Elephas maximus indicus: one gene and its partner. The protein of the gene in region 1 binds, or shares a complex with, the protein of each later gene. Links are inferred from orthologs where the notes say so. Each region holds a gene or a part of one and is shown on either strand. Other genes may lie near its edges. The genes, in order: GINS4 and GINS1.

Evidence for each region.
Region 2: the proteins of GINS4 (region 1) and GINS1 are in contact, whole or in part, in a crystal structure (PDB 2E9X), measured with the Homo sapiens proteins. The link is inferred for Elephas maximus indicus from reciprocal best matches to the Homo sapiens genes GINS4 and GINS1. Residues at the interface, in NP_115712.1 of Homo sapiens: Met55, Glu59, Glu83, Arg84, Arg86, Tyr87, Leu89, Ser90, Leu93, Arg94, Leu97, Glu101, Phe104, Glu125, Glu126, Phe129, Glu132, Phe133, Asn136, Thr137, Tyr140, Leu141, Val144, Ala145, Leu146, His148, Met149, Pro150, Pro151, Asn152; in NP_066545.3 of Homo sapiens: Phe24, Leu29, Leu33, Met36, Tyr40, Leu69, Leu70, Arg73, Thr76, Val77, Leu80, Tyr81, Leu84, Arg88, Trp92, Glu109, Glu110, Trp113, Asn116, Tyr117, Ser120, Leu121, Tyr124, Ser127, Leu128, Gly129, Gly130, Asp131, Leu134, Ile136.

Annotation. Positions count from the first base shown.
Region 1 is NC_064840.1:58,957,271-58,973,378, reverse strand, and holds the start of GINS4 (DNA replication complex GINS protein SLD5), read left to right. Parts: upstream 1-10,124; 5' UTR 10,125-10,335; exon of another isoform or gene 10,336-10,490; intron 10,491-11,138; 5' UTR 11,139-11,154; coding exon 11,155-11,250; intron 11,251-14,117; coding exon 14,118-14,204; intron 14,205-15,025; coding exon 15,026-15,139; intron 15,140-16,108. UniProt on the Homo sapiens protein: Required for correct functioning of the GINS complex, a complex that plays an essential role in the initiation of DNA replication, and progression of DNA replication forks.
Region 2 is NC_064843.1:68,354,295-68,370,053, forward strand, and holds the start of GINS1 (DNA replication complex GINS protein PSF1), read left to right. Parts: upstream 1-8,450; 5' UTR 8,451-8,667; coding exon 8,668-8,742; intron 8,743-13,527; exon of another isoform or gene 13,528-13,541; coding exon 13,542-13,606; intron 13,607-15,759. Other genes in the region: lysophosphatidylserine lipase ABHD12, read right to left, coding at 4,745-4,935. UniProt on the Homo sapiens protein: Required for correct functioning of the GINS complex, a complex that plays an essential role in the initiation of DNA replication, and progression of DNA replication forks.

The DNA of each region.
Region 1 (16,108 bases):
AAGAAAAACAAAACAGACAGCAAATGACCCAAATAAGAAATGACCCAACTGAAAGTAAAAGAATCATATCAGATTACTATGAAAAATTGTACTCTAACAAATTTGAAAACCTAGAAGAAATGGATGAATTTCTAGAAACACACTACCTATCTAAACTAACACAAACAGAGGTAGAACAACTAAATAGACCCATAACGAAGGGATTGAAAAGCTAATCAAAAAACTCCCCCCCCAAAAAAAAGCCCTGGCCTGGATGGCTTCACTGCAAAATTCTACCAAACTTTCAGAAAAGAGTTAACACCACTACTACTAAAGGTATTTCAGAGCTTAGAAAAGAACGGAATACTCCCAAACTCATTCTATGAAGCCAGCATCTCCCTGATACCAAAACCAGGTAAAGGCACCACAAAAAAACAAAATTACAGACCTATATCCCTCATGAACTTAGATGCAAAAATCCTGAACAAAATTCTAGCGAATAAAATTCAACAACATATCAAAAAAATAATTCACCATGACCACGTGGGACTCATACCAGGTATGCAGGGATGGTTCCACATTAGAAAAAGAATTAATGTAATCCATCATGTAAATAAAACAAAAGACAACCACACGATCTTATCAATTGATACAGAAAAGGCATTTGACAAAGTTCAACACCCATTCATGATCAAAACTCTCAGCAAAATAGGAATAGAAGGAAAATTCTTCAACATAATAAAGGGCATTTATACAAAAACAGACAACATCATCCTAAATGGAGAGAGTCTGAAAGCATTCCCCTTGAGATCCGGAACCAGACAAGGATGTCCTTTATCACCACTCTTATTCAACATTGTGCTGGAGGTCCTAGTCAGAGCAGTTACGCTAGATAAAGAAATAAAGGGCATCCAGATTGGTAAGGAAGAAGTAAAAGTATTTCTATTTGAAGATGACATGATCTTATATACAGGAAACCCTAAAGAGTCTTCAAGAAAACTACTGAAACTATTAGAAGAGCTCAGCAGAGTATCAGGACACAAGATAAACACACAAAAATCAGTTAGATTCCTCTACACCAACGAAAAGGACATCGACGAGGAAATCACCAAATCAATACCATTTACAGTAGCCCCCAAGAAAATTAAATACTTAGGAATAAATGTTAACAGAGACATAAAAGACCTATACAAAAGAAAACTACAAGACACTACTGCAAGAAACCAAAACAGACCTAAATAAGTGGGAAAACATACTTTGCTCATGGATAGGAAGACTTAACATTTTGTTTTATGGACCCGTCTAATCTTTGGCTAAAGGGTGAACCTCAGGAGTGACTTCAGTACTGAGTTAAAAGGGTATCCCTGGCCATATTCTTAAGTTTCTCCAGTCTCTGTCATACCAGTAAATCTGGTCTTTTTTTGTAAGTTAGAATTTTATTCTACATTTTTCTCCAGCTGTGTCTGGTATCCTCTATTGTGATCCCTGTAAGAGCAGTTGGTGGTGGTAGGGCACCGTCTAGTTGTGCTGGTGAAGAAATTCTTATGCTATGTAAATGCCCAGCAGATACCATCCACTGCAGAGAGGTTCTCACTGAGGAAGTGGGAAGCTCTTTGGATGTTAGTCAGCCTCTTTCCCCAGGCTCCCTGGTACTTGCTCAGTGGGACCATATAAAATGGCCATGGCAGCAAAGATGGAGATTACAATAACATGGACTTCCTCTCATCATGGCTGATCTGGCTACTGCCACTGCTGAGTGCCCAATCTGCCAACAAGGCCAATGCTAAACCCCTAATATGTCATCACTCCCCAGGAGGGGGTTTTGATTATAACATAAAACTGGACATTTTAATTACTGAATTGGAACTGTGTTTTGTAACTTAAAGAGATCATGGGATTTTTTTAAACAAAAGAGTGACAAGTAATCATGGACCTTTCTCGGTTTCCACCCAGGGTCAGGGGAAGGACTATTCCCACCAAATACATGTAAAACGACAAAAATAAAATTGGACACAAAAATAAATGAGTTATGCTAATTGACGTAGTGGATACACACACGCATATCCACACAACTCATATACTATTACCATATATTACTTTTGTATGCACATAAGTGGGAAAACATAAAAACATGCCTGAGAAGAGTAAACGCCATGTTGAGGATGGCAGTTATCTCTAGAGAGAGAGGAAGAAGAATGGGGTTAGGAAAAGGAGCACGAACGGCTTGGATTGAATTTGTAATGTAATATGGTTTATTGTTTTCTATAAATCAAAAACCCAAACCCACTGCCTTCTAGCCAATTCCAACTCATAGCAAACTTATAGAACAGTGTAGAATTGCCTCACAGAGTTTCCAAGGCTGTAAATCTTTACAAAGCTGACTGCCACATCTTTCTCCTCCTGAGCAGCTTGGTGGGTTCAAACCACCGACCTTTTGGTTAGCAGCCCAGTGCTTAACTATTGTGGGCCACCAGGGCTCCCAAATTATTTTCTATACTTTTTTCAAATGCCAAAAGATATTTTTATTATGAAAACCACAACACGCGTTTGTCAATATAAATTGTTCTTAGGTGCTGTCCAGTGGGTTCCGACTCATAGTAACCCCACGTACAACAGATCGAAACACTGCCTGGTCCTGCGTCATCCTCACAATTGTTGCTATATTCCAGTCCTTTGTTGCAGCCACTGTGTCAATCCATTTTGTTGATGGTCTTCCTCTCTTTCTCTGACCCTCTACTTTACCATGCATGATGTCCTTCTCCAGGGACTGGCCCCTTCTAATAACATGTCCAAAGTACATAAGATGAAATCTTGCCATGCTTACTTCTAAGGAGTAACCTGGCTGTATTTCTTCCAAGACAGATTTGTTCATTCTTCTGGCAGTCCATGGTATATTCAATATTCTTCGACAACACCATAATCCAAAGGCATCAATTCTTCGGTCTTTTTAATTCAATGTCCAGCTTTCACAGGCATACAAGCCGACTGAAAATACCATGGCTTGAGTCAGGCACACCTTAGTCTTCAAGGTGATATCTTTCCTTTTTAACACTTCAAAGAGGTCTTTTGTAGCAGATTTGCCCTATGCAATATGTCGTTTGATTTCTTAACTACTGCTTCCACGGGCCTTGATTGTGGATTCAAGTAAAATTAAATCCTTGACAACTTCAATATTTTTCTCTGTTTATCATGATGTTGCTTATTGGTCCATTTGTTAAGATTCAATATAAATTATTGGTGTGCACAATATTTTAGGGTGTGGCACTATAAATGACCATACCCTAAATATTATGCATACTAGTTGACATCTTCAGTATCTCGAAGGGCTTTGGTAATTTGGACACAATACTCAACGCTCCCCTGGGATTTCACCCAAGTCTCCAGTTTCAAGTCTCCAATTTCAATTTCCCTTAAATCTCCAGGTCTATGTACATCTTAGGTCTCAATGATCCTCAAAAGACACTAGTCTCTGAGCTCTGCTACTTCTAATTATACCCGAAAAAGTGAAAAAATAAAAGGAATGGCTTTTCCTGCTTACAAGTATATATGCAGCCTAGTAGCAGCATATAGCCAAGGGTAAAGTTCAGGGTCAAGCTGAATTTCTCACTTAAAATAAACATGCCTAAGACGAAGCAAAGAGAGGATGACTGGGAAACTTTATGATTTCACTTCTTCACAAACAAGGAAAACTCCAAAGTGATTTCAGCCTTCACAAAGCTCCATGGGTCATACTTAAATCTTAACTGATTCTAACAAGTTTGCAACTCAGAATGATGGCTTCTTACAGTAAGACCAGCTCTGAGAGACCAAATGACCCAAGGCTTCTGGTTCATGTTTCAAAAAATACCAACTTCAGGGTACATTGAACACAATCGCATGACCACTTTCCAGTATTTTCAGCTGAAAGTATTCTCATAACTGAACTGAACATCAACTGAAAAATCTTATGCTTTCTATCATTTGGAGAGATATGCTAAAAATGGAATTTTTACATTATCTATTTTGAGCTAATTTAATAATAAAATTCTCAGATAATCGTTTGTGACAAGGAATATAATTAGTCATCCCATCCTCCTGCCTTCTGATAGACAGAAGGTGAATTTTAACTCAGTTAAGATGTTTACTTTCACCAGTGAGAAATCTGTAAGAATTGTTTAAAACAAGAAACCTAGACATAATTCCAGGGAGTTTGTAAGATGTCACGAATTTAAAATTTCACTTTTTTTCCCTATATTAACCCAGGTGTCTTATTCTTTATTATGTAAAGTTTTGACAACTCAGAAGATATATAATTTATAGATGCTCCATGTATAGATGAAAATAATAATGGTAATAATTGCAATGTAATACCATCTCTGTAACTCTAATTAAAAAATATGAAACTAAGAAAAATTTAAATACATGTTACTGTATTTTTTTCAGCTCAGGGTAACCATTTATACACATAAATGAATCTGAACTGTATTCTAAGAGTTGTTCTCACAGGGGACATCTTATCGAAAATGTCTCCACCCTCAACATTCTCTACCCTTTACCCAGCTTTATTTTTCTTCATCGCATTTATCACCACCTGCTATTTATAACAGGATATATGTGTCTAGCCCACTACCATAAAGTCAATATCGACTCAATAGCAACCCCATAGGACAGAGTGGAACTGCCCCATAGGGTTTCCAAAGAGCAGCTGGTGGATTTGACCTGCTGGCCTTTTGGTTAGCAGTCATAGCTCTTAACCACTACACCACCAGGGTTTCCATGTGTTACCTAGTCACTGCTTTAACCTTAATACCTATGTTACCCCTGGAACAGTAAATACTCAAGAAATCGTTGTTCAATGAAGAAATAAATGAATGAATGAATACTAGGCTTGGGGGATACCCTCAGAGAATTCAAAGTCTAAAAGGAGAAATAGAGACGTTAAAATTGCAAGATAATGTAATACATGTCATACCAGGATATTAGATGCTATAAACCATTCCAAACCCATTGCCATTGCCTCAATTCCAACTCATAGCGACCCTATAGGACAGAGCAGAACTGCCCCATAGGGTTTCTAAGGACAGCTGGTGGATTCGAACTGCAGACCTTTTTGGTTAGCAGCCAAGCTCTTATCCACTATGCCGCCAGGGCTCCATATGGTATAGTGGTGGCCTAAAGAGGGGATAGATGTGTTAGGGATGGTTTCACAGAGGAAGGGATATTTCAGCTGGGTCTTCACGGATGAATAGAATTTCATCGGGTAGTAAATGGAGAGAAACTCAGAACGAGGCAACAGCATGTGTGCAGAAAGGAGACAAAATCCTTCGTATCCATAAGTAATCTGACATAACTAGAGCCAAGAGGGTGCAAGGAAAAAAGCCCTGAGCGACAAGAAAGTCAGCAGCATCTACTTTTCTCAGTGACTAAAATCACACCAGCACCCCAATATCCTCCCTATATTTCTTGAGGATATTTTTACTCCATCTCCCAACAGATCGGTTTAGTATAGTTTTTCAAAGTCTAAAGGCAAAGAGATACCAGCCTAGAGGAGTTCTGATCACTACTCCCCAAGGAAAAGTTAAAGAATGTAAGTTAGTAACTCTCTGGGATGAGGAAATATATCACCTTACTATTCCTTGAGGAGGTATCAGAGTTTGACAGGTATCAATGCTCTGCTTCCTTATTGACAATGTTACTACAAACAGGGAGATGTCATCTACAGAGTCTTTGCCCAGACTTGTAAAGACTTTGTTAGAGCCGGTATTTGAAGCCAGATGCTTTGTTTCCTGGGTAAGTATTCTTTTCAGAAGATATGTGTACCCCTTCATAGGAAAACTGATTCTTTTTTGTTATTCCTAAGGTTAATTCTGTAGTCATGAGAAAAAATATCCTCCAGCCTCGAGAAAACAAAAGGCACAGGTGGAGGTAGGGCTTATTTGTCTGTGCCAGAAACTTGAGCTATGTTAAGACCTAACTGATGGTAGGAAACCCTGGTGGAATAGTGGTTAAGAGCTCAGTTCACATCATTTTCCTACAAAGGAACAGGCAGAAAAAATAAAGAACATAGCAGTAAAAGTTTGTACAGGCTTTTTAGTTTAGATAATGCTACAAAATTACCTAATTCAGCTCTGTCTCTTAAAAGTCTTTAAATTGTGGTTTCAGAACTCGGAAAAGCTGAGCTTTGAAAAGTTTATATCCTCGTTGGGGAGCCTGTATAGGTTCATTTAACATGACTGAAATCAAGACAAGATGAGAGTAAGGGGTGTAGGATCTAGAGTCTAGACAAAAGCAAGGAATTAGGGATATCATGAATTGTCAAGATTTCACATCTGTCAGAGAGATCCAAGCCTGGCCCTGGTTTCCTGACCCTTCCAGTATCCCTGCTGTACAGGAAGATATTAGGTTTTAATTATTGGCCAGAAAAATATTCACAAATTCCGTAGCCAATAGCTTTGCTCCTTCCTGCCTTCCTTAAACATGCAAGCTGCCCCCTTACTCTCCTATCCTTAATCCAGATCTTCATTCTTTCGAAAAAACCAAGGGTTAAACTTTGGTAACACTCCCCAAACTCATTGTCTTTGTTCTTAGCTGGTGAGACCAAGAAGGTGATGGTGTTCAGAGGAAGGAAACAGTGAAAAACAGCTGTTGACCAAATAATCTAGGGCAGTGATGATGTGAAAACAATAACAAAACCAAATCCGTTGCCATCGAGTCAATTCCGACTCATAGAGACTCTATAGGACAGAGTAGAATTGCTCCATAGGGTTTCCAAGGAGCCCCTGGTGGATTTGAACTGCAGACTTTTGGTTAGCAGCCAAGCTCTTAACCACTACACCACCAGGGTTTCCATGTAAACAATAATGATGGTAAAAAAACAAGCCAAACCAGTTGCCATCAAGTCAATACCAACTCATGGTGGCCCCATATATGTCAGAGTTGAACTTTTCCCGGCTGTGATCTTTTGGAAGCAGATCACCAGGCCTTTCTTCCAAGGCACCTCTGGGTGGGTTCAAACTGCCAAGCTTTGGGTTAGTAGCTATGCACTTAACTGTCTGCACCACCCAGAACTCACAATAATGATGGCTCACAGCAATGATGGTATTACCTTGTATTTAGAAAGCACCATTCTCCCAAAAGCCTCACAATACTGTAAAGCTATTTTTATTTTGTATTTTATCTTCAGTGATTTAAAAAGAAAAGAATAGCTTCATTCTTATTAATGTATATTCTTATTAACGTAAATTTCTGTAGTTATCTACAGGAAGCATCAAAAGAAGATGGAAGGAATACACAGAGTCACTGTACCAAAAAGAATTGGTCGACATTCAACCATTTCAGGAGGTAGCATATGATCAGGAACTGATGGTACTAAAGGAAGAAGTCCAAGCTGCTCTGAAGGCATTGGCGAAAAACAAGGCTCCAGGATTGATGGAATATCAATTGAGATGTTTCAACAAACAGATGCAACGCTGGAGGTGCTCACTCGTCTATGCCGAGAAATATGGAAGACAGCTTCCTGGCCAACTGGCTGGAAGAGATCCATATTTATGCCTCTTCCCAAGAAAGGTGATCCGACCGAATGCAGAAATTATCGAACAATATCACTAATATCACACGCAAGTAAAATTGTGCTGAAGGTCATTCAAACCTGCCTGCAGTTTATGTCAACAGAGAACGGCCAGAAGTTCGAGCCAGATTCAGAAGAGGGCATGAAACCAGAGATATCGTTGCTTACATCAGATGGATCCTGGCTGAAAGCAGAAAATACCAGAAAGATGTTTACCTGTGTTTTATTGATTGTGCAAAGGTATATGACTGTGTGGATTATTACAAATTATGGATAACATTATGAAGAATGGGAATTACAAAACACTTAATTGTGCTCATGTGGAATCTGTACATAGATCAAGAGGCAGTTGTTTGAACAGAACAAGGGGATACCGCGTGGTTTTAAGTCCAGAAAGGTTTGCATCAGAGTCGTATCCTTTCACCATACCAATTCAATCTGTATGCTGAGCAAAATAATCTGAGAAGCTGGACTATATAAAGAAGAATGGGGCATCAGGATTAGAGGAAGACTCGTTAACAACCTGCGTTATGCAGATGACACAAACTTGCTTGCTGAAAGTGAAGAGGACTTGAAGCACTTACTGATGAAGATCAACGACCACAGTCCTCAGTATGGATTACAGCTCAACATAAAGAAAACAAAAATCTTCACAACTGGACGAATAAGCAACATCATGATAAATGGAGAAAAGATTGAGGTTGTCAAGGATTTCATTTTACTTGGATCCACAATCAATGCCCATGGAAGCAGAGCTAAGAATCGAATGACACATTGCACTGGGCAAATCTGCTGCAAAAGACCTCTTTAAAGTGTTGAAAAAGAAAGATATCGCCTTGAAGAATAAGAGACACCTGACCCAAGCCATGGCGTTTACAATCACCTCATATGCATGCGAAAGCTAGACAATGAATAAGGAAGACCAAAGAAGATTTGACGCCTTTGAATTGTGGTGTTGGCAAAGAATATTGAATATACCATGGACTGCCAAAAGAATGAACAGATCTGTCTTAGAGGAAGTACAACCAGAATGCTCTTTAGATGCAAAGATGGCGAGGCCATGTCTCACATACTTTGGACATGTTATCAAGAGGGATCAGTCCCTGGAGAAGGACATCATGCTTGGTAAAATAGAGGGTCAGCAAAGAACAGGAAGACCCTCAATGAGATGGATTGACACAGTAGCTGCAACAATGGGCTCAAGCATAACAACAATCATGAGGATGGTGAAGGATCGGGCAGTGTTTCGTTGTGTTGTACATAGGGTTGCTATGAGTCAGAACCGACTTGATGGCACTAATAACAACATTTGCTATGACTGTAACCGCGGTTATTTTCTTCATTCAGCAATATTCGCAAGTTGTGTCGACAGGTCTTTTTATTCATTTGTGTAGAATTCTATTTTCTGTATCCTCTTCAACTTTGGGCCGTAGCTTTTTCCTTCGTATGCCATATTTCTAACTTCATGTTTTACTTGTCTGAAAATCAAGTTAGCGTGGTCACCTTGCTCTTTTAATCATCAGAACATTCTACAAATTCTGTACTCAAGTTTTATGTATCACCATCAAATGTCACTCTCTTGCTATCATAACCTACGTAATTATTTTTTATAACATGACTGTTTTAATGAATAGCATTCCATTTATATGGCTGTGTAATCATTTCTAAAAAAAAGAAAACTTCTTAATGGTGGGTGAAAATCAAGCAGGTATTTCCGATTTTTCTCTTCAGTCTAAATAATGTAACTTAAGACATGTCTTTCCTTCCTTCAGCAATTCTGTGCTGCATCCCCCAAGTAGCTTTATACATTCTTTTTTGACATCTCCTTAAAATACTCTTTTTTTTCACATGGCAAACTCATTTTTTCTAAAGTGTTTTTGTCTGGTGAATATTAGTTAGAATCAAAGATTGTAGAAGTGAAAGGGATCCCCCAAATAATTTTTGACCTATCTCTCTGTCTTCAGGCAAACAAATATGATTCACGTCACAGGTGGTGCAACCGAAGCTCAGAGAAGTGACTTGTTCAAGGTCACACCTTTACTAAGTAAGGAAACTGAGGCTGGCCTCCATCTCCCAGATGGACAAACAGGGAAAGATTGGAGAAGACAGTTGGCACCAGAAAAGGGAAGTCAGTGTCTGCATCAGTAAAATAAGTAACTGGTACTTCTGTGTAGATGTTATTTGTGCCAGATTAAATGCAGGGAATACCTGGACTCAAGTCTATAATACTCAAGGATATTTTTCACAAATCTGCAATCGGGGCAGGGTTCACCCGAGACAGCTCGTCTCTGATCCCCTCCACGCGAGCTGGAGCGGCTTGAAGCTGACTGAGGGCTCTACCATCTGAAGACTCATTCAGGCGATTCACGCTGGTGGCCGGAAGGCAGACGCCGCCGGATCTCCTCAGCCGCGGTGGCGCGGCGCCCCCTCGCGACCGGACTCCCGTCACCTCCATTCTCGAGACTGACGCGAGACTGAACCTCCGCGACGCAAGTCTCCGCCCCTTTAGGGAGGGCGGGGCAAGAAGGCTGCTGGTTCCGCCCCCGGGCCGTGATTGGTTAGCGTCGTCCGTGCGTGGGGACGTAAACTGGGCGGAAAGGGTCCGAGAGAAGCGCGGGAGCTGAAAAGCCGCGAGTGGGGAACGTCCGGGAAAGGCTTCGTAGGAATTGGCCTGTTTACCCTCCGTTTCCAGTTCGTCCTTGGGAGGGCCCGGGCTGCTTCCCAGCGAGCTTCGTCCTTGCCGTCTGCTACCTCGGAGTGCCTCTGCCTCCCAGCACCTCGCGTGAGCACCCACGTGGGACCTCTGTACTGTGTGTGTGCGCGCGCGCGCCCGCGAATGTTTGGGGGAATGGGTGGTCTGTGTTGGTGCCAGCGAAAGAGGAGATGGGCAGGAGGAATTTGCTCAGCTTCCCTGAGGTTCTGGGGACATACCCTCGTCCCCCAACCCACCGCACAACTTCCTAAGGTAGTTTGGTGTCTGCTGTCAAGCCCTGTGCTGAGCGCTGGGTCCACACAGATAATGTATCTCCAGCACTTAGAAGTGCCAGGCTCTGAGCAATGCGGGATTCATATTTGAACTGAAATGAATACAGTCCCTGATGAAAAGGAGCTATACTGGGAAGCCAATTAAAGGAATAATCATTATATGGTGTGATAGGTGCAGAATTCGAAGTGTACGTAGTGAAAACAGATGTAAGGGGGCACCTCTTTGAGAACTTGATACCTGACCTAAACCTTGAAGGAAGAAACAAAGAATTGAAAAATCAGAGTCTGTAAATGATGTAGCCACTGCCAATGAACCTGACAACCCCACATGAAACTTTCCTTCACTGTATGTATAATTGTCTATTTTTGTAAATAGAGCCCTGGTGGCGCAGTGGTTCGGAGCTCGGCTGCTAATCAAAAGGTTGGCAGCTGGAACCCCCCAGCCCCATGGGAGAGAAAGATGTGGCAACCTGCTTCTGTAAAGATTACAGCCTTGGAAACCCTAGGGGGCAGTACTACTCTGTCCCTATTGGGTCACTATGACTCGGAATCAACGTGAAGGCAGTGGGTATTCTTGTAAATATATGGGAAACATATTGCAGGATATTGACTCTTTTATTTTCATTAGGTTCCTGGTTTCAGAAATGACAGAGGAACTGAATCTTATGGAACAGGACTCTGATGGAGGTAGTGATGAGGTGGTCCTTACTCCTGCAGAGCTCATTGAAAGGCTGGAGGAGGTAAGCATCCCAAACAGAATCCCCTAGCTCCAATCCAACTGGGCAAATTTGAGGAATCAGAAAATGAAGAAATAGAATTCAAGGTTTATTTCAAGAGAAATAGGAAGTAGGGGGCCATAGTCTACTGGAGACCTTGTAACATCAAACACAATTCTTAAGTGGTATCAGAAAGGAACAGTTTTGGATTCATTTAATAGCATGGTTCACTAGTATTTACATTTAAGGTTCTACTTGTATTTGTGAGGGCTGCAGAGGTGTTGTGGGGATTTGTCGGTTCTGTATGTTGTTGTTGTTGTTGTTAGGTGCCGTTGAGTCGGTTCCGACTCATAGCAACCCTATGCACAACAGAACGAAACACTGCCCGGTCGTGCGCCATCCTTACAATCGTTGTTATGCTTGAGCCCATTGTTGCAGCCACTATGTCAGTCCACTTCGTTGAGGGTCTTCCTCTTTTCCACTGACCCTGTACTCTGCCAAACATGATGTCCTTCTTCAGGGACTGTACCTTAGTCTCTTGAAATAACTGATGTTTCTCTGGAGAATGTCGGGTTAACAAGAAAGTGCTGAAACATGTTGAGGAGAAAACTGGCCTATTCTTCCTTTTCCTCTCATATACTTTGAGTCAGATGTTGTCTTTATTTCCACTGCTTACCTAAAATTTCTGGGCTACTTCTTCCTTTCAAACCAAACTTGTTGCCGTCGAGTCAATTCCGACTGATAGCAACCCTGTAGGACAGAGTAAAACTGCCCCGTAGGGTTTCCAAGGCTGTAAATCTCTACAGAAGCAGACTGCCACATCTTTCTTTTGCAGAGCAGCTAGTGGGTTTGAATCGCTGACCTTTTAGTTAGCAGCCTAGCACTTAACCACTGCACCACCAGGGCTCCTGAGAGATGCACAGGGACCTCTGAAATAATGATAATATTCTGTAACTAAGTTGTGCACACACAGGTGTTTGTATCATCGTTCTCGTGGTTAATATGTACCTCATATTCTTTTGTAGCTGTTCAGTATTTAATAACACCAATTAAAAAGAAAAACTGCTTTTTAAGTTCTCCGTGATAATTTGATCTTTTCTCATTAATTAAGCTACTTAAAAATATAGGTTGTCTTCCAGGTTAATTTTATACATCTGCAATAATTTGATGGATACGGATATTATCTAATTGTTTAACTTTGAGTTGCCTGATTACTAATGAGATTAAATATTTTCTCTTCATGCCTATTAGATCTTTTAGTTTCCTCCCTGTGGCATGCCATTATATATCCTTTGCCAAATGTTCCAAAGAGTTTTTTTCCTTTTCTAATTGATGAGTTGTGGTAGTCCTTTGTTGTTTTGATTGTGACCCTTTACAATATATGTTGCGATATTTTTCCCAATCTGTTTGTATTGTTTGTCATACAGTCATTTAAAATTATGATATTGTCGAATTCATCAAAATTTTCTTCATGTAACATTTTATGTTCTGTTTAAGAAGACCATCCCTACAAAAAAAAAATCAAAAAGTATTCTTTAATATTTTGTTCTCCTGTATTTAGAGTTAGGGTTTTAGTGCAGTGATTAAGAGCTCAGCTGCTAACCAAAAGGTCACCAGTTCAAATCTACCAGCTACTCCTTGGAAACCCTATGGGGCAGTTCTACTCTGTCCTGTAGGGCCGCTATGAGTCGGAATTGACTCAACAGCAACAGGTTTTTGGTTTGGTTGCAATAGTATTACAGAAGCTAACCAAAAAACCCACTGCCGTCAAGTCAATTCCGATTCATAGCGACCCTATAGGACAGAGTAGAACTGCCCCGTAGAGTTTCCAAGGAGTGCCTGGCGGATTCAAACTGCAAACCTCTTGGTTGACAGCCGTAGCACTTAACCACTATGCCGCCAGGGTTTCCACAGAAGCTAAAGCACTTGAAAAAATTTTTATGGTAGTAACAATAACAATAGCCAGTATTTAATAAGGTGTCTTGATAGGGATAATTGAAGAAACAGAGACTCAAGGAAACCAAAAGAAATAGATGGAGCTTGATGAGCATGTAATTCTGACCTATGCTAAAACTAAATTTTCTGTAATGGAAAGATAAGTATAGTTTTCCTTAGTTTCCTGTGGCTACTTCAGTTCTCTAAGCCTTGGAAGTTTCTAGAATGTACCAAGCAGTTAGGCCTGAGTCATAAACTAGGGATTTAACCTCTTGTCCCAAAACTGTTTAATAGATGAATATCCACTTCCATTGTGATCTTTTAAATTCTTGGGCTTTTAGTGTATTACTTAAATCTCTTTTTTCTCATCAATACTATATCCATTTCCTCTCAGAGATACTACGATGGTGAATGAAAAAGTGTGTTTAAAATGCTTGGAGCTTCAGGAATGAAGAGATGTGTAGATTTGTTTAAAGTGTTAACTTCATCTCTCAAAATGGAAATGGTGTTAACTTCATCTCTCAAAATAGAAATGGTGCTGGTGCCCCCTAGTGGGAAATAGCCTGTGAAAAAATGGGAAAAAAAAAGTGTTAATGCTACTCGGTAAAAGGTACTGTTTGAATACTAGGGAGTGTTACTGTCAGCAATAGGTATTATACTTTAACATTTTTGAAGTAATAGTGATTTTTTTTTTTTTTAATCTTGGTCGAATATAAGGTTGTGAACACAGCCTTCTCACTAAAAAAAGAAATGGAAAAGCCGTCATTGAACAGCTTGTCTTCAAAGCATTTTCAAGTGGTAGGCAAACTAGTTTTCTTTGCCTGAGAGATCTGTGATTTTCATGGGGTGCTATGAGTCGGAATCGACTCGACGGCACTGGGGTTTGTCCGGGATACTAACCCAAGGGGTTATTTCTCCTCCATTGTGAGTGATGCTTTTTTTTTTTTTTTTTTTAGGCCTGGATGAATGAAAAGTTTGCCCCAGAGCTGCTGGAAAGCAAGTCTGAAATTGTAGAATGTGTCATAGAGCAGCTAGATCACATGGTAAGAGCTGCTTGTCTCAGGGTTACAAAGGAAGAGAAAGTTAAAAGGGTTTGGTCAGCATAATGAGAAGTTGTGGTATGACGACAAATCTGTTTTGTTTGGCCCAGCCCAGTATTTTTTAAAATACTGAAATGGTTGCCAACATTTACAAAGCATGAGAGCTCCCATAAGAATCTGGGTATCAGCTTCCCATGAAAAATCTGAAGACCCAGCATCACTGGCCCCACATTTCTACAAAGAACAGTCGACCAGAGCAGGCTAAGAGCCACTCCTTTCTGTGTGCTTCCCTGTTCCCCACACCCGCTAACTACCCACCTTTCTCATATACCTTTCCTGCCTGGCCCTCGTAGTCATTTGAGTTTGTGATCCTTGGCTTAGGTGATCTGGGTGTAAATAATTATCAGCATTAAAATTTTTGACATTTTACAGTGTCTTAACTGGTGTTTTAACTCTGCTTTTCAGACCCCTTAGACATTTTCTTCTGTGTGCTGTATCACCACCTTTACAATTGGGTTAGCATCCTGGGCCCTCCTGACTGACCACATTCAGATTCTATTTGCGCAGTCATTTTCTAAAAGTAGATAAATATTGTTTACGTTTTGTATAGTGAGACTTTAGGCTCATGTTTTTCGTGTAATTAAAATTAAAACTAAAATGAGAGCTCTTATGACTTTTAGTTTTGGTTCACCTTTGAAATGTAGTCTTTGGGTCCTAAACATTGCCAATGATGGTGGTCCTTGTGGGCTATACATAGATTGAACAAAAAAGATTCTTAGTCTTGAAAAATCATGATTTTTATACTTGGATTTCTCCTTTAATAGGAAGAAAATCTCAGGAGAGCCAAAAAGGGGGATCTGAAGGTCAGCATCCACCGAATGGAGATGGAAAGGATCCGCTATGTCCTTAGCAGCTACTTGCGGTGTCGGCTCAGGAAGGTTTGTCATGGAGATAACTGTAGGCATTACAGCAATGCAGTCTCTGATACATGCTGAGAGCTCTGAGGAGGAGAAGTCGGGCTGGGGCCTGGGAGAGTCTAGGGCCTGAAAATACTGCGGAGCCTCCGCTCTCAGAGGGCGGGAGATTGTTCTAGAGAGGCCTAGCTGGAACATCTGTTGCACCACTCTGAGGGTAACACACGGGGTTTTATTGTATTTATCTGCTATGTATGGTGCCCCCTGGGGTTACAACGTAGTAGTCCTGAGGCAGAGTTGTCGACAGTGATTGACTAGAGAATACTGAGAGGAGAACTAGTTTTAAAAATTGTTTTCTATCTGTCAGACAGTCAGTGTCAAACAGACCATGCTAATTTGACATATAGAAAAAGGAAATTTGCAAAACATTCTTAATTTGTATGATGTGTGTTCTAACCCTGGCAAGTTCTTGAAGTTTCTTCTCATTGGGTTCCACCTGTCCCCTTAGGTATTATAAAACTAACAGAGTGCTGCAGGTATCTGAAGACAGCTAACACGTCTCATTTAAGTCTTCTCTCAGCTACACATTCCAACCATTTAAATCAAACTTACTCTCTTGCTGTTTTTTCTAAAACAGTTCTAGTTTGTCAGTATCCTTCTTAAATTGTGCCATTTGGAACCGAATACAATATACCAGTTGTGGTTTGGCCTTTTTTGTAAAAAACAGGATGATCATTTCCCTTATTCTGGATATTAAACTGGTAGTAATACCACCCAATATCACATTAGTTTTTTGACAGGCACATCTTACTAAACTCATCCTGTGCTTATTATTAACTCTAACCCTTGCTGATGTTTTAAGTTATTACCCCATCCTATCACCATCCTGTATTTGTATGGCTTGGTTTTTTCCTCCTAAATATAGAGCTTATTACTTACTGTGGTCTCCATGTCTTGATTTTGTTACCTAATATATTAGCTGTCTCTCTCTCT
Region 2 (15,759 bases), on another chromosome or scaffold:
TAATAATTTAAAAAGTATTCAAGCTGTCGCAAGTAGAGAAAAGAATGTATAAGAATATAAAGATATAGAATACATTATTACAACTTGGCAAAGATAGAATTAAAAAAGAAAATTACAGAAGTCTCACAAATAATGACACAAAACTTCTAAATAAAATAATACTAAATAGAATCTGGTTACACAACAGAGTTCACCTCAAGACTACTATGATGATTCAATAATAGAAAATATATTTCTATAACTCAGCACATTAGCAGATCAAGGAAGAAAATCTATACGATCGTTACACAGATGCTAAAATGGCATTTGATAAAATTCAACAACCATTTTTTTATTTTAAAAACCCCAGAACATCAGCAACACGCCCGTTAGTAAAATAATCAGCATGGCACTTAATGACAAAAATACTACAAGCGTTCTCATGAAAGCTGGGGATAAGAACTTTGCTCTTAAAATACAATGCACTTGGAAAGGAGAAAGAAATGAGACATAAAAATCGGAAACCAAGGGACAAACTTCTTATTTGCAGCTGACATGATAACGTACCTGGAAAATCCAAGAAAATTCACCAGAAAAACTATTAGAAACAATAGCATAAATAAGGTGCTGGTTACAAAATTAATAATACAACTAAGAAGAATATGTAGTATAAGAAAGGATTCAATTTTCGGTAACAAAAAAGATAAAATAACCACGAATAAACTTTTAAGAAACGTGCAGGGTTTCCAAACAAACCAACTGCGAGAAGACATTTCTGAGACAATTGAGGAAATCTGTATGTGGACTGGATAGCATGTAACAATAAATTACTGTTAATCTTGATAAATATGATATCACTGGGGTTATGTACATTTTGAAAAGTCCTAATTTGTTGGAGATACACAGTGCAGTATTTATGCATACAATGATTTGTTTTAAAATACTCCAGTCCTCTACCCTACAAAAAAATGGATGGGATGAGGGATAGTTGCTTCAGATTGGCAAAATATTGGTATCTGTTGAAACTAAGCAATGGATACACGGGAGTTCATTATATTATTTTCCTTACGTTTATACATTAGAAAATATCCACAATGAAAAGTTTTAAAAAATGTGCAAGGACTAAAACAAAACCCATAGGGTTTGCAAGGAGCAGCTGGTGGATTCGAACTGTCGACCTTTTGGTTAGTGGCCAAGCCCTTAACCACTGTGCCACCAGGGCTCCTTTGGACCAAAACACAAAGGGGCATAAAAGACATAATAACTATAAAAAGCAATAAGCTTATAAAAACACACCAAAAAATGCTGCCTAATAATTAAGACAGGAGCTCTGGTGGCTCAAAGGTTAACTGCTTGGCTGCTAACCCGAAAGGTCAGTGGTTGGAACCCACCAGCATCTCTGAAGGAGAAAAGCTATGGCTGTCTGCTGCCATAAAGATTACAGCCTAGGAAATACTACGGGGGCAGCTCTACTCTATCCTGTAAGGTCACTAACAACAACAATTAAGAGATGCAAATTAAAGCTACAAACCAGATGCCATTTTTCACCAGACAGGCAAAGATCAAAATATCTGGTAATGTACAGTGCTGGTTGAGAGTGTGTGTGTGTGCGTGTGTGAAGACACCTTACATTGTTGGTGGGAATACAAATTAGTACAACTTCTTTTGAGGGTGATTTGACTTTATCTTTCAAAGTTATAATACATACACCCCTTGGTCCAGCAATTCCACTTTCAGGATAGCTACAGATATTCATCCAACAAGTATTTTCTGCTACCCACCATGTGCCAGGCACTGAAAATAGGATGGTTAAGGAAACAATGTTCCTGCTGCGGGGTGGGTTAGAAACCATCAACCTTTCAGTTAGCAGAGTGCTTAACCATTGCACTCCAGAGCCCCGTACCCCATAAGACTATAGCCTAGGGAACCCTATGGGGCACTTCTACTCTGTCACATGGGGTTGCTGTGAGTCAGAACCAACTCGACAGCCCCTAACAACGGACCACTTTAGAAAGGGACAAGAGGCAGGGGTGGTGGAGCTTTAACTTCTTTGTGATATTTTTGAGCAAAATGAAATTTTTTTTAATTGGGAAAAAAATTGATAATAGCAACTTGAAAGATTATATAGGAACCTTAGTGCGCAGTGAGTTTATGTTAATGAGGGAGGAACAGCTCAGAAAAGGAGGGTGAGAATGGCTGAATGTAATCAGTGTTACTAAATTGTACATGTAGAAACTGTGGAATTGATATGTTCTGCTGTGTATATTCTCAACAACAATAACAAAATATACAAAATTCAGAAAAAAGAAACCTTTGAAAAAAGAGAAAACAATGTTCCTGCCCTCATGGAGCTTCCCCTTTAGTGCAGAAAGAGATGGTCAATAAAACAAGTCAACAAATGCACCTGTAATTATAATATCGGGTCAGTGATAAGTGCAATGAAGAAAAAAGTTAACAGAACAAAGGGGTTGAGAGGAAGGAGAAGGCTATTTTGGAAGACTGGTCCCAGAAGATCTCTTGGAGGAGACGGATGAGCAGAGGCCTGAATGAAGAAGATAAAGCATGAGAATGCTGGAGAGAATGTTCCAGGCAGTAGGAAAGGAAACCAGGAATAAGAAACAAATTTGGCCTTTCCTTTGTTTTTCTTTTCATTCCCCTAACAGCCTTTTGTTCATCCAAAGGATAGGTATGGGCACCACTTAAATCTCTCTCTTCGACTCCTCACATGAAAATTGAAATTAATCAGATGCTTTTAATACAAGAAGGTGCTAGTTCAGCATTGTTTCCCCCAAACCTTTCTGTGCACAACAATTTGATTTCTTCAATGGATGGATTTCTAATTTTATCGAAGGGCTATGCCAAACCTGTTAACAAAAGTGCATTAAAGCTAAATTATGAGTTTTTAATGCACATAAACATTTCCACAGCAAAGAATACAAATTAGTTTTACAAAAGATATTGACCAGTTGCTAAGTCATTTTACACACACACACATAGTCCTGTCCTTCTGGCAGAACTGAGTCATCAATTTGGAGGGTTCTATAAAAAACAAATTTTTTTCTTTTTTATAGTTTAATTTCAAGATCTTTTAAGCAATGCAGTTGAAATTCTGGTCTTCTTTAGGGGCTATTTGGATAAATATTTTATAGTGAAGTGGCCAATGTCAATTAAAGGCATTCTAGTTGACCTCAACAGAAATGCCTTTGCCACAAGACCTGTTAACACTACACACTAACTTCTTCAAACAATACCAAGAAACATCAAGGCTCCAAAATTGCCATAAATGATACATTCTACAAACAGCCAAGTAATTAAAGGACCAGTAAGCGAGGAGAGAAATTTGACCCTGTGAAGTATGCTCCTATCTCAATTTGGAAGCCAGCGTTACATAAATTCATTCATCCCAGTGGGAAAAGGCAAACGACCGAAGGGCTCCAAGACTCTGGTGGGTCCCTTCTTGGCGGGTCTCACTCATCGGGGCTGCCTTTAAGGGCCAGCAGCCCCCTGCACATCACACGACAGGTTTCCCTCCAACAGCTGCAGATGCCGTACACCCCACCTTTCCCTGGGCGCCGCGGGCCACTTAACCGCTCCCCAAAGGTCCGGCATTTCCGAGCAACGAATGCCATTCCTGACAGCTAGTCACCCGGAGAGGACAAGGATCGCCGAAGTGAGAATCGGGGCCCTGGGGAGCTTCCGCACACGCAATCCGGGTAGGGGGGTCAGGTTAGAGGGGCGCCGGCTGACCCCCGGCTTGGGTCCGGTTAGAGGGGCGCCGGCTGACCCCCGGCTTGGGTCCGGTTAGGGGGGCGCCGGCTGATCCCCGGCTTGGGTCCGGTTAGAGGGGCGCCGGTTGACACCCGGCTTGGGTCCGGTTAGAGGGGCGCCGGCCGACCCCCGGCTTGGGTCCGCTTAGGGGGGCGCCAGCTGACCCCCGGCTTGGGTCCGGTTAGAGGGGCGCCGGCTGACCCCCGGCTTGGGTCCGGTTAGAGGAATCGGGCTAAGGGGGCGCCGGCCGACCCCCAGCTTGGGTCCGGTTAGAGGGATCGGGCTAAGGGGGCGCCGGCCGACCCCCGGCTTGGGTCCGGTTAGAGGGGCCCCGGCTGACCCCCGGCTTGGGTCCGGTTAGGGGGCGCCGGTTGACCCCCGGCTTGGGTCCGGTTAGAGAAATCGGGCTAAGGGGGCGCCGGCCGACCCCCGGCTTGGGTCCGGTTAGAGGGGCGCCGGCCGACCCCCGGCTTGGGTCCGGTTAGGGGGGCGCCGGCTGACCCCCGGCTTGGATCCGGTTAGAGGGGCGCCGGTTGACCCCCGGCTTGGGTCCGGTTAGGGGGGCGCCGGCCGACCCCCGGCTTGGGTCCTGAGCAGAGGACGAGGCGCAGACGCGCTCCAGCACTCGGGGTCCCCAGCCCCTCCGCGCCTCGCCCCCGGCCCTCCCTTCCCCTCCCGCGCAGGGTCGTCACTTCCCGGCCGCTCCGACCCCGCCGCCGAAGGGGCCCCCGCGGGCTCGCCGCGGAGAGCGGGCGCGCAGGGACCGAGGGCCGCGGGGCACCGGGGTCGATGCGGAGCGCGGCTCTCGGCAGGTAACTCGGAGGCCTCGGGGCCGCCCTTGCCGGCCGGGGGAAGAAGGCGCCCGGAGACGGGTCGGGGAGGACACCGGGGACAGGGCCCAGGCGCGGGGCGCTCCGGCGGGCAGGCAGCCGGGGGAGGGCTCGGGAGCTACCTGCCGGCCAGGTGGGGCCCCGCCCCGCCCTGCGCAGCGCCTCACCTGCCCAGAGCCCGCTTCATGCCCGCGTCGGCCGCGCACCGCGGCTCGGCCGCCCCCGCGCCCGGCAGACGCAGGTTCTGCTTCAGGCGGCAGTCGGCGTCCAGCGCCGCGGGGGCGGAGGCTGAGGAGGACGAGCCCGCGGCGACGGAGCGCTCATGCTCCAAGGCGACGGGCCCGGCCCGCTTCCTCATGCCGCGGCCGACAGGGCCGGCCGCCGAGGGCGCCAGCTGGCCTCGTCCGCCCGCCTGCGCCGCTCCCGCTGCAGTCCCCGCCGCCCGGAGCCGGAGCCGGAGCCGGAGCCGGAGCCGCCGCCGCCGCCGCCGCCGCCGCCGCCGCCGCCGCCGCCGCCGCCGCCGCCGCCGCCGCCGCCGCCGCCGCCGGGAGCCCCTCACATCTCGGCCGAGGCCGCGGCGCGCGACAACGGACTACACCCGGGACGGCGGGTCACGCCGACCAATCAGCGCCGGGATCCCTCCCCCGCTTCCCGCCCCCAGCGTTCCGCGTCCGGAGTCCCGCGGGGAGCGCGGCCCGCCCCGCCAGCCGGGAGCCATCTTGGGGAAGGGCGGGCGAAGCCGAGGCTAGCGTCATCGTAAGGGCAAGGCCGAGCGGCCCGCAAGCCTGGCTGGGCCTGGGCGCGGACTCCGCCGGAGTTGAGCAGCTGCGGCACTGTCGCGCCCCAGGGCGCCAGCCGGAAGGCGAGCACTGGGGAGGAGTGGCCACAAGGGGCCGCTCTTCCGCTCGCATCCAACGCTGGAAACCCGGCCCAAGTGAATTCTGGGAATGTTCTTATAAACCTCACAATTCTGCTAGTTGGGGGTGGGGGTGGGGGCGGGGGCGGGGGTGGGGATGGGGGTGGGGGCGGCTAACACATATTTCTCTGCCTCTGGGAATGGTAACTCCATCCTTGCATTACCTCAGGCCAAAACCTTGAGGTCATCAGTGATTTTTCCTTTCTAATGCCACAGTGGGAGCCTCTGGGTGCTGCAAACCATTAAGGTGTCACTGCTACCCCAAAGGCTGGAGGTTTATGTCCACCCAGAGGTGCCTCAGAAGAAAGGCCTGGCGATTTACATCTGAAAACTCAGCCACTGAAAACCCTACAGAGCACAGGTCTACTCTGACACACATGGGGGGTTGCGTGAGTCGGAGTTGACTGACAGCAGCTGGTGGGCCACAGCATGTTGCCTTTCAGCTCCACCTTCAAAATCAGTCTAGGACCCAATCACTGCTCACTACCTCCACCATCTCTCACCTGGATTACTTTAATGGCCTAGCTGGTCTCCTTTGCCCGGCTTCAGTTGACTTAGACACCACAGAGGTCTTTTTAAAAAAAGTTTTTTAAACCTAGGTCAGAGCCTGTCACCGTCAAAACACTTTAATGGCTCCCCATCTCACACAAAATAAAACCGAAAGTTTATGCAATGGCCTAAGGGCCTGTCTGATATGGCCTCCATCTTCTCCTTACTCACCCTGCACAGGAAGCACTGCCGCCTCGTATGCCTTGCACACAGGCCACCCAAATTCCCCCCCTCACACTTCTGCACTTGGCATTGTTGCTGCCAAGAATTCTCTGCACTTCCCACTGCCATGTGTCCACATTGCTCCCTCCCTCCCATCTTTCAGGTTTGTGTCTTCTCTGAGCACTTTAACTCAAAACCCTCAGACCCCCGCACCATCACTCTGTTCTCCTTCTTTGGCTCATTCTTCATAGCACATATCACCAATATATCCGTCAAGAATATATCTGTGTATTGCTGTTTTCCCACACTAGAACATATACCAAAGATTTTGTTCACTGCTTTGCTCATTGTCTACAACAACGCTGATACATCTAAGTCAAACCAAACCATTGCTGTCGAGTTGATTCCAACTCATAGCAACCCTATGAAAGTTAATATTTGCTGAGGGAAATGATTGAATCACACAATCCCAGAGGTTGTGATCCCTGTAAAATGATCCCCTTTTACAGGTAAGGAAGTGAGTCTCAGGGACATTGAAGGGCTTTACCTAGGGGCCTAATGAAAAATATTTATACTGTAGCAGAAAAGCCTGTGAATAGCTGGTCTTTGGGCCACAATCCTGCAGGACATTCCAATGTAGAATTCTGTATTTGACTAAAAAGGAAAAAGAAAAATTTGGCTAAGTTATCCCTTACTGTAAAGCTGAAATGTCACTCTGCATAAGGATGAGATTCTGAGGCTTTGTTTTTAAAGCAGGCCTTTCCCTTACCCATACCTCAGATCAGATATCTACTGTACCTGTATTTGGAAAAGAGCAACATAGTCTCTAGGGTTAGCTAGAATTAATCTGAGTAATATTGCTCTTTAAAAAATAGCCCAATTAGACCCATCGTTTCTATAGCAATGACTTCTACCTTTGATTCTATGTGGTTATGAGATTTTCCATAGATTACCTAGTCAAGATAACACATGAATTCCTATTAATCTTAAAAAAAGAAAGAAAGAAAAAGCCTTGCCATTGAATGAATTCCAATTCATAGTGAGGCTACAGGGCAGAGTAGAACTTCCTCACAGGGTTTCAGGGCTGCAGTCTTCATGGAAGCCAACTGTCACATCTTCCTCCCTGATGGCAGCTGGTGGGCTTAAACTGGTTCACACTGCAGACCTGTTGACTGGCAACCCAGAGCATATCCACTGCGCCACCAGGGCTCCCCCATTCATCTAGGGCATCCCCCCCCGCCCAGGCCTGGTGAGGGACAGTTCTACTGGGTCGTGTACGGTCGCTGTTAAGTCAGAATCAACTAAACAGCAATTTGTTTTCTTTTGGTTTTGGTAGACCTGATGACAAGGTATACTTTACAAACATTTTAAATGAGTGCTTAAAAATCAAAAAGGTGGTACAGTGGAGTTGAAAGTGAAAAACTTTAGTTCAGAGTCTATCACTTTAGCAGCTGTTTCCTAGGCAGTATCATGAGTCTAAATAACCAGTTTTATGGATAATCGTTAGAAGTCCACGAAGTATACATCGACTGAGGACGTACCCAGTAAAAGTCGTTTTTCCTTTGCTATCAAACAAACAATAACACTGCAAAACTAAACAAAGGAAATGCCGAACATAGTATTAATGCACACCGTTTCTGGGACTTTCCGTCTCCGAGCGCCCCTTTGAACCTTAACAAAAATGAAAGCGTCAGGTGGGGAAAAAAAGCAAGCTGCGGGACGTGCATTTATCCGAAGCTGCCCGGCCCGCCACATCGCAACTCAAAAGCCGTCTCCGCTTAGCGAAGGCTTCACACCGCCACCCACCGACTCCTTCCCGGACGCCGGGTCCCCAGCCGGAAGGACCCCCCCGACCGGAAGGGACCCCCCGGCCGGAAGGGACCCCTCTCCCGGAAAGGGCCCCCCCCGCCCGGAAGGGGCCCCCCAGCCGGCAGGGGCGCCCGCCCGGAAGGGGCCCCCCGCCCGCAGGGGCCCCCGCCCGGAAGAGGCCCCCCAGCCGGCAGGAGCCCCCGCCCGGAAGGGGCCCCCGCCCGGAAGGGGCCCCCCGGCCGGAAGGGACCCCTCTCCCGGAAAGGGCCCCCCCCGCCCGGAAGGGGCCCCCCAGCCGGCAGGGGCCCCCGCCCGGAAGGGGCCCCCCGCCCGCAGGGGCCCCCCGCCCGGAAGAGGCCCCCCAGCCGGCAGGAGCCCCCGCCCGGAAGGGGCCCCCGCCCTCGCTCCCGCCCCCCGGTAGTACGCCTGCGCAGCGGAGGCGACGGTCCCTCTTCAGCCGCCATTGGCCGCCGGAGTCAGGAGCACGTCCCCATTGGTTGGGTGGGTTTAGCGCCAAAACGCGGACCGGTTGCGAAGTTGAGGGGCGGGAGCCCAGAGAAGGGAAACGGTAGGGGTAAAGGTGCTGAGGGTCCGGCGACCCTTCGGCGTGAGAACGGACGGTTGACGAGGCCGTGGGGCAGGGGTGCATCCGCCATGTTCTGTGAAAAGGCCATGGAGCTGGTCCGCGAGCTGCGCCACACGCCGGAAGGGCAGCTGCCCGCTTTTAATGTGAGAGGGGGAGGGAAGGGCGGAACAGAGGCGAATGGGGCCTGTCGAGGGGGCGGGGCTGAGGAGGTGTCCTGGGGTGGAGGGGGCCGGTGGGCGGGGTCTGGGCCGGCGGGGGGGGGCCCTGGGCCGGCGGCCGGGGCCTAGGCCGGCGGGGGGCGGGGCCTGGGCCGGCGGGGGGCGGGCCCTGGGCCGGCGTGGAGGGGGGGTCCTGGGCCGGCGGCCGGGGCCGGGGCCGGCGGGGGGCGGGCCCTGTGCCGGCGGGGGGCGGGGTCTGGGCCGGCGGGGGCGGGGTCTGGGCCGGTGGCCGGGGCGGCTTTCCCGCCGTTTTACCTACGCTTTTCCTGGAGGCTTTACTTTCCCACCGTTCCAGTTCCAAGGTCGGAAACGAGATTTGGGCCGCGGCAGGACAGAATATAGAAGAAGAAGGCATTGGCTTATGTTTCTCGGGGATTTGAGTTTTTCATATGACTGTATCTCCTTTAGTGTTTTTCCATTTATAGCTTTGTTGTTGCTCCTTCGTTTAAACAAAACATGTAATGGTTGCCTGATAAATTAGCATTTTTTGGCGCACGCAGGTAGCAAAGTTTAGTGGTTAAAAGGTAGGGCTCTGAAGCCAGGCTGAGATTCTGGCTCTGTTGGGTCACTTTGGACTAGTTACTTGAGCGTTCTGAGCGCTCAATTTTCTCATCTGCAAAAATGGGGACGATCTAATAATACACAGTTCACGTTGTTGTTAGGTGCGGTGGCGTCGGTTCCGACTCATAGCCACCGCAAGTACAAGAGAACCATGCATAGGACAGAAGGAAACACTGCCTGGTCCTGCGCCAGCCTCGTAATCGTTATCTTTGAGCTCTTGTTGCAGCCACTGTGTCAGTCCATCTCGTTGAGGGTCTTCTCTCTTTCGCTGACATCCTCCAAACATGTCCAGAGTATGTGAGATGAAGTCCTGGTGTAGTGTACAGTGAGGGTTACATGAGTTGGTCCTCTGAACGATTCCTGGCACACAGTGAGGACTGAGTCACTGTGTGCTGTTTCTACTAGTACTGCTATTGTTACTACTATTACTATTATTATTTTTCTATTATGAGAACTTCAAGCCAGGAACAGTGCTAAGCACTTAGCCTTCATTGTCTCTCCTTTGAGGTTTAAGCTGTTGCTTTCCTTTTTTTCCAGGCATAAAGGGAGACTTGAGATTAAGTAACTTGCTGGTGATGACAGTCCATAAGGGATTGTTTTAGTCATCCAGTGCTGCTGTAACAAATACCACAAGTCGACGGTTTTAACAAAGAGAAGTTTATTTTCTCACAGTAAAGTAGGCTAAAAGTCCAAATTAAGGGTATAAGCTCCAGGGGAAAGCTTTCTCTCTCTGTTGGCCTTCTCATCAGTCTTTCCCCAGACTAGGAGCTTCTTCGTGCAGGGACCCTGGGTCCAAAGGATGCGCTCTGCTCCTGGCACTGCTTTCTCGGTGGTATGAGGTCATAGTCCCTGTCCTTTTCCCCTTCCCTTCTCCCCTCCCATCTCTCTGCTCACTTCCCTTTTTTATATCAAGAGATTGCCTTAAGACACAGTCCAATCTTGTAGGCTGAGTCCTGCCTCACTAACACAACTGCTGCCCATCTTCCCTCATTAACGTCACAGGGGCAGGATTTACAACATATAGGAAAATCACACAATACCAGGAATCATGGCCCAGCCCAATTGAAAAACACATTTTGGGGGGGACATAATTCAATCTGTGACAAGGATAGAGCTAGAATTTGAACCTTGGTAGTCTTGCTCCAGAGCCTGCACTTTAAATGATATAGTAGACTATCATGGGGCAGCCACTGTGTATATGTCAGGAAGAGGAGCAGGAAAACAGGTGAATAGAATGCAGCTTGGTAAGCGAAAGCACAGAGTGTAGACCAGGAAGATAAAGGAGAAAGGCCATTGTGAGTTGGAGCATGGGGCTTGAGGGGCATCTGAGCCATGCCTGGAAGGATGAGTCCCCTGAGAAGGCAATGAGTTTTGTTTTGAAAATTAAAGAGCACCTAATCCTACAACTAGGTCATTTTACGGAACAAGAAACTCAGCCAAGAAAAACTGTGGGTCAAGTTAAGAGATCTGTCTGAACTCAGGGCACTTTGGAAGCCTTTGAATACAGGTTTCCTAGGTTCCAGTGTATTGTTCTTTCAATTCAGAACAGTTAAACAAAGAACAGTTAGCTCATTTAAAAAGTTAGGAGACAGCAGTGGCAAGTTTATTAGAGATTTTGGAAGGTAGCAGGTATGTAGGTGCAAAAATATGGCTCCACACTGGGGTTGGAGACTTTAGGGGTCATGGTACACGTGAGGACACAGACCCACAGAGACAGAGTCCCTTGTCCACACAGGGTTGGCCTTGGAACCCAGGTCTTTTCACCCTGAGTTTAGCACTATTTTCCACTGAAAAAGTATTTTACGATAGCTCTGTTGGTTTACCACTAAGACCTTTGGGGGACCAGAGGTGGGTCTTAAGCAAACCAAAACTAAACCCGTTGCTGTCAAGTCAATTCTGATTCATAGCAACCCTGTAGGACAAGAGCAGAACTGCCCCATCGGGTTTTCAAGGCTGTAGTTAGTCTTTACTTAAGCAGACTGCCACATCTTTCTCCTGCAGAGCATCTGGTGGGTTCTAACTATTGACCTTTAGGTTAGCATCTGAGCACTTTAACCACTGTGCCACCAGGACTTCTCTTGGAACTGTCAACCGTTTGGCTAGCCAAACTCTTAACTACCGTGCCACTAGAGGTGGGACTTAGAAGTTATAGAATTAATCCTTCTTTTAGGTCTTAGTTTGGTGGAGCACCTTTTGTCTCATTAGTGCCTTCCACTGATGAGCCCATTTGGTTGTCAGGTGAGTCAAGAGCCTGGGAGACTCACCTGTGAGGGTGGGCCAGTCTCACACACAACTGCAGCAGAAGATGGAAAACTGATCTGAGGGTGAATAGGCCTACCACCCATGCAGGCAGCTGGTACCCTGGGGTGTGGGGGCACAGGTCAGCCTTATCCACTCCAGAATATCTCGTGGTTAGTTGCTGTCTTGGTCATCTAGTGCTGCTGTTACAGAAATACCACAAGTAGATGGTTTTGACAAAGAGAAGTTTATTCTCTCCCAGCCCAGTAAGCTAGAAGTCCGAATTCAGGACACCGGGTACAGGGGAACGCTTTCTCTCTTTGTCAACTCTGGAGGAAGGTCCCTGTCATCAGCCTTTCCTTGGTCTGGGAGCATCTCAGCGCAGGAAGCTCAGGTCCAAAGGAGGTGCTCTGCTCCGGGCACTGCTTTCTTGGTCGTATGAGGTTCCCAACTCTCTGCTTACTTCCCTTTCCTTTTGTCTCTCAAGAGATAAAAGGTGGTGTAGGCCACATCCCAGGGAAACTCACTTTATTTTGGATCAGGGTTGTGACCTGGTAAGGGTGTTACAATCACCCTAATCCTCATTAACATAAAATTACAATCACAAAATGGAAGACAACCACAGAATACTGGGAATCATGGCCTAACCAAGTTAATATACACATATTTTGGGGGACGTAATTCAATCCATGACAGTTGCTATGCTCAGTAAGCTGAAATGATGACCCACTTTCTACATCCAGAACTGTGGTAGATTTCTCTAGGAAAATCAAGTTAGGCTCCTAGGGGCTTACAGCCTAAGGTAGGGGCACAGAACTGATATGAGTCCCACTAGAGATGAAAATTTAAACCTGAAAGTTTGTGTATATTTTATGAAACCACTTCTGTTTAGATTTTTATATGTCTGCAGATCTATTAATCACACAAGAGTTTTTATTTAAAACAGTACTTGCTAAACAAGGGGAATATTTACGGTGGTGTAGTGGTTTTTTTTTTTTTTTTTAGTGGTTAAGTGCTATGGCTGCTAATCAAAAGGTAGGCAGTTCAGATCCACCAGGTGCTGCTTGGAAACTCTGTGGGGTAGTTCTACTCTGTCCTGTGGGGTCGCTATGAGTCAGACTTGACTCGACAGCAAAAGGTAATAAATCATGGCCTTTTTTAAGTTGTGCTTCATTCACCAGGAATGGTATCTTTCCTTGTATTTGAGCAGCGTTCAGCAGTTGATATTTGTAATTATACCAGTAGTGCCAAAACATTTTTGCTAATGAGTATATTTTGGCCCTGAAAGTACACGGGGTCACTTCTGTTCAGACGGAGCCCGGGTAGTGCAGTGGTTAAAAGCTGACGGCTAACAAAAATGTGGACCTTTCAAATCCACCAGCCGTTCCTTGGAAACTCTGTGGGGCAGTTCTGCTCTGTCTTGTGGGGTCTCTTATGAGTAGGAAACAACAGGATGGCAACGGATTTGGTTTGGTTTTAAGATCGTTGACAAACCTATTGTTTAACATTTATGACTTTCAGGATTCTAAAATTTTATCTTTACAAGGGAAAAAATTTTTGCCTCAAGGTGGATAGTAGGAAAAACTTCTTTGACCTTTCTGTTCTTCTTGCAGTACAAACCAAAACACTGTTCCTTTTTTTTTCTTTCTTTATTTTTTTTGGGGGGGGGGTGTAGTAACCTTTTAAGACCTTTTTTTTTTTTTTTTTAGTTAATAATAAAATATTTATGTGCTTTTGTCGTGCTTGATTGTCTCTGTAAGGCTATTGATTTTCGCTGAGATACATAAATACGAATTTGAATCGACTTGATGGCAATGGGTTTGGGTTTTTTTTTAATATATAAATCAAGGATAAATATAGTACAGATACAAATGGCTTTGGGGAATTAATGAAGTTTTATATCAATATCAGTTTATATATTCTAGGAGGATGGACTCAGACAAATTCTGGAGGAGATGAAAGCTTTATATGAACAAAACCAGTCTGATGTGTAAGTTTTGATAAGATTGATATTTTAAAACAGTTTAAGAAGTAAGGTACTGAATCAGATAACCTTGTATCATATTTTTTGTTTGTTTTTAATTCTCTACGTACCTGATCATATTCTAGCTATACGAATTAGCACAGAACTAATTTGGTCATTGTTGTATTCACATAGTGGATGCTCAATATGTATTTGTTGTTTGATATGACTTGACAGGAATTATGGCAGACTTGAAAGAGATGAGCCTTGAGCAAATTAAAAACCCTAACAAAGTGGAATATGGACATCGTTTTCACTGTCTTCATTAATAGATGCCTCCAGGGCTCCTAACAGATGCTTTAATGCATTTGGTAAAGGGAGTAGGGCAGCATGTTAACATTGAGGAGCAGCAGTGATTTCTGGGAGCTTGAGTCGAGTTTGCGGAGAACTAGTGCTGCAAAAGGCCATAACTCAAGAGGGCTCTGGACTTAGTAAGAGCCGAGCATGGTATTTGGCACAATGGAGAATTTGGGCTATAAGACAAATCAATACGCTCCTATGACTTGGTGAAAAGTACCAATGAAAGAGTACCAGTTAATGGATCAAAGTTGAGGTTTTCAGGACCTCAACCTAAAGAGAAGTCGACTCTGTGACGTGTGGTTTCATCTTTGGCCTTGTTAGATACAATGTTTTTATCAGTTTCTTGGATATGAAAATCAGTGGCATGCTGGTAAGATTTGTAGAACACAAAACCTAGGCACATTTCCAACTACTAAGGACAGATAGAGAAAAATCTTTACAAACAGAATGAGCAAGTACACCGTACAGGTTCTGACCCTTGCAGTAAATGTAAGATAAATGTCCTGAAATATGGTCCCCAAGCCATTCATTCATTCATTCAACCAACACATATTTATTAAACAATTACGTGCCAATAAGTGGCTCTGGTACGCAACGCAATCAAGATTTCTGCCCTCATGGCACTCAGTCTAATGGGGAAGACACGTACTAAATACAAATACACACACAGAAAAACTAGTTACAATTGGAATATGTGCTGTGAAGGAAAACAACAGAGTGATGTGAGAGAATAACAAATGGAAGACACAGTTTAGACTGGACTAGGAGCCTCTCCATGCAGGAACCTTGAGTCCAAAGGATTTTATCTTCTCCTGGCTCTTGTTTCCTGGTGGTATGAGGTGCCACTATCTCTCTGTTTATTTCTCTTTTTTATATCTCAAAAGAGATTGGCTTAAGACACAACCTAATCTTATAGATCTCATTAACATAACTGTCCCTAATCCATCTCATTAACATCACGGTGACAGGATTTACAACACATAGGAAAATCACAGCAGATGACAAAATGGCAGACAATCACACAATACTGGGAATCATGGCCTAGCCAAGTTGATACACATAGTTTTGGAGGACACAGTTCAATCCATGACAGACTGAAAGGCAGGAAAGTTCTCTCCAGGGAAGCGATGTTTTCAGCGGAGGCCTGAGAAGACGCAGGTTTGAGCGAGGCAGTAGTTATGGGGAGAGAGCATTCTGGGCAGAGGGAACAGGTCTGCCACAGCCTTGAATCATGAGGGAGGACAGGATGCTCACGAAACTGACGCCAGAGGAAGGCCAGTGTGGCTGGAGCTTAGCAGGTGGGCACAAGTGACATTAGAGGAGATTTTTAAGTTTGTGGGATGGGCAGTGTCCCATCATGTTTTAGGTCATCCTCGCTGCCATGTGGACTGGGGCTAAGAGTAGAGGGAGGCACACTGGTCAGGAGATGGTCGGCATCACCCAAGTGGTAGAAGATTGGCCTGCACTAGATAGTGGCAGTGAGAAGGTAAAGAGTGAACGGATGAAAGAAATATTTCAGGGGTAGCAAAGCAGGCCTTGGCCCTGGGGGTGGGGAAAGAAAGAATGATTTTCCTGTATTTGTACCATTTGCAAATTCATGATTCAAAATTCTGTCCCTCATCCTCTTGGTGTCTTTTCTGGGAAAACAATCACTGTTAGCAATTTCTGGTTAAAGTTATTTGTGAGAACAAATGTTTTCCTTCTAAATTACCCATGTGTAAATGTGATTTTTTTTTAGGACATTCTTACGTACTTAACAAAGTACTTGGTGTTAGGTGGGTGTATTTTATGTGTACAACGTGGAGTATAAGTCTGACTGT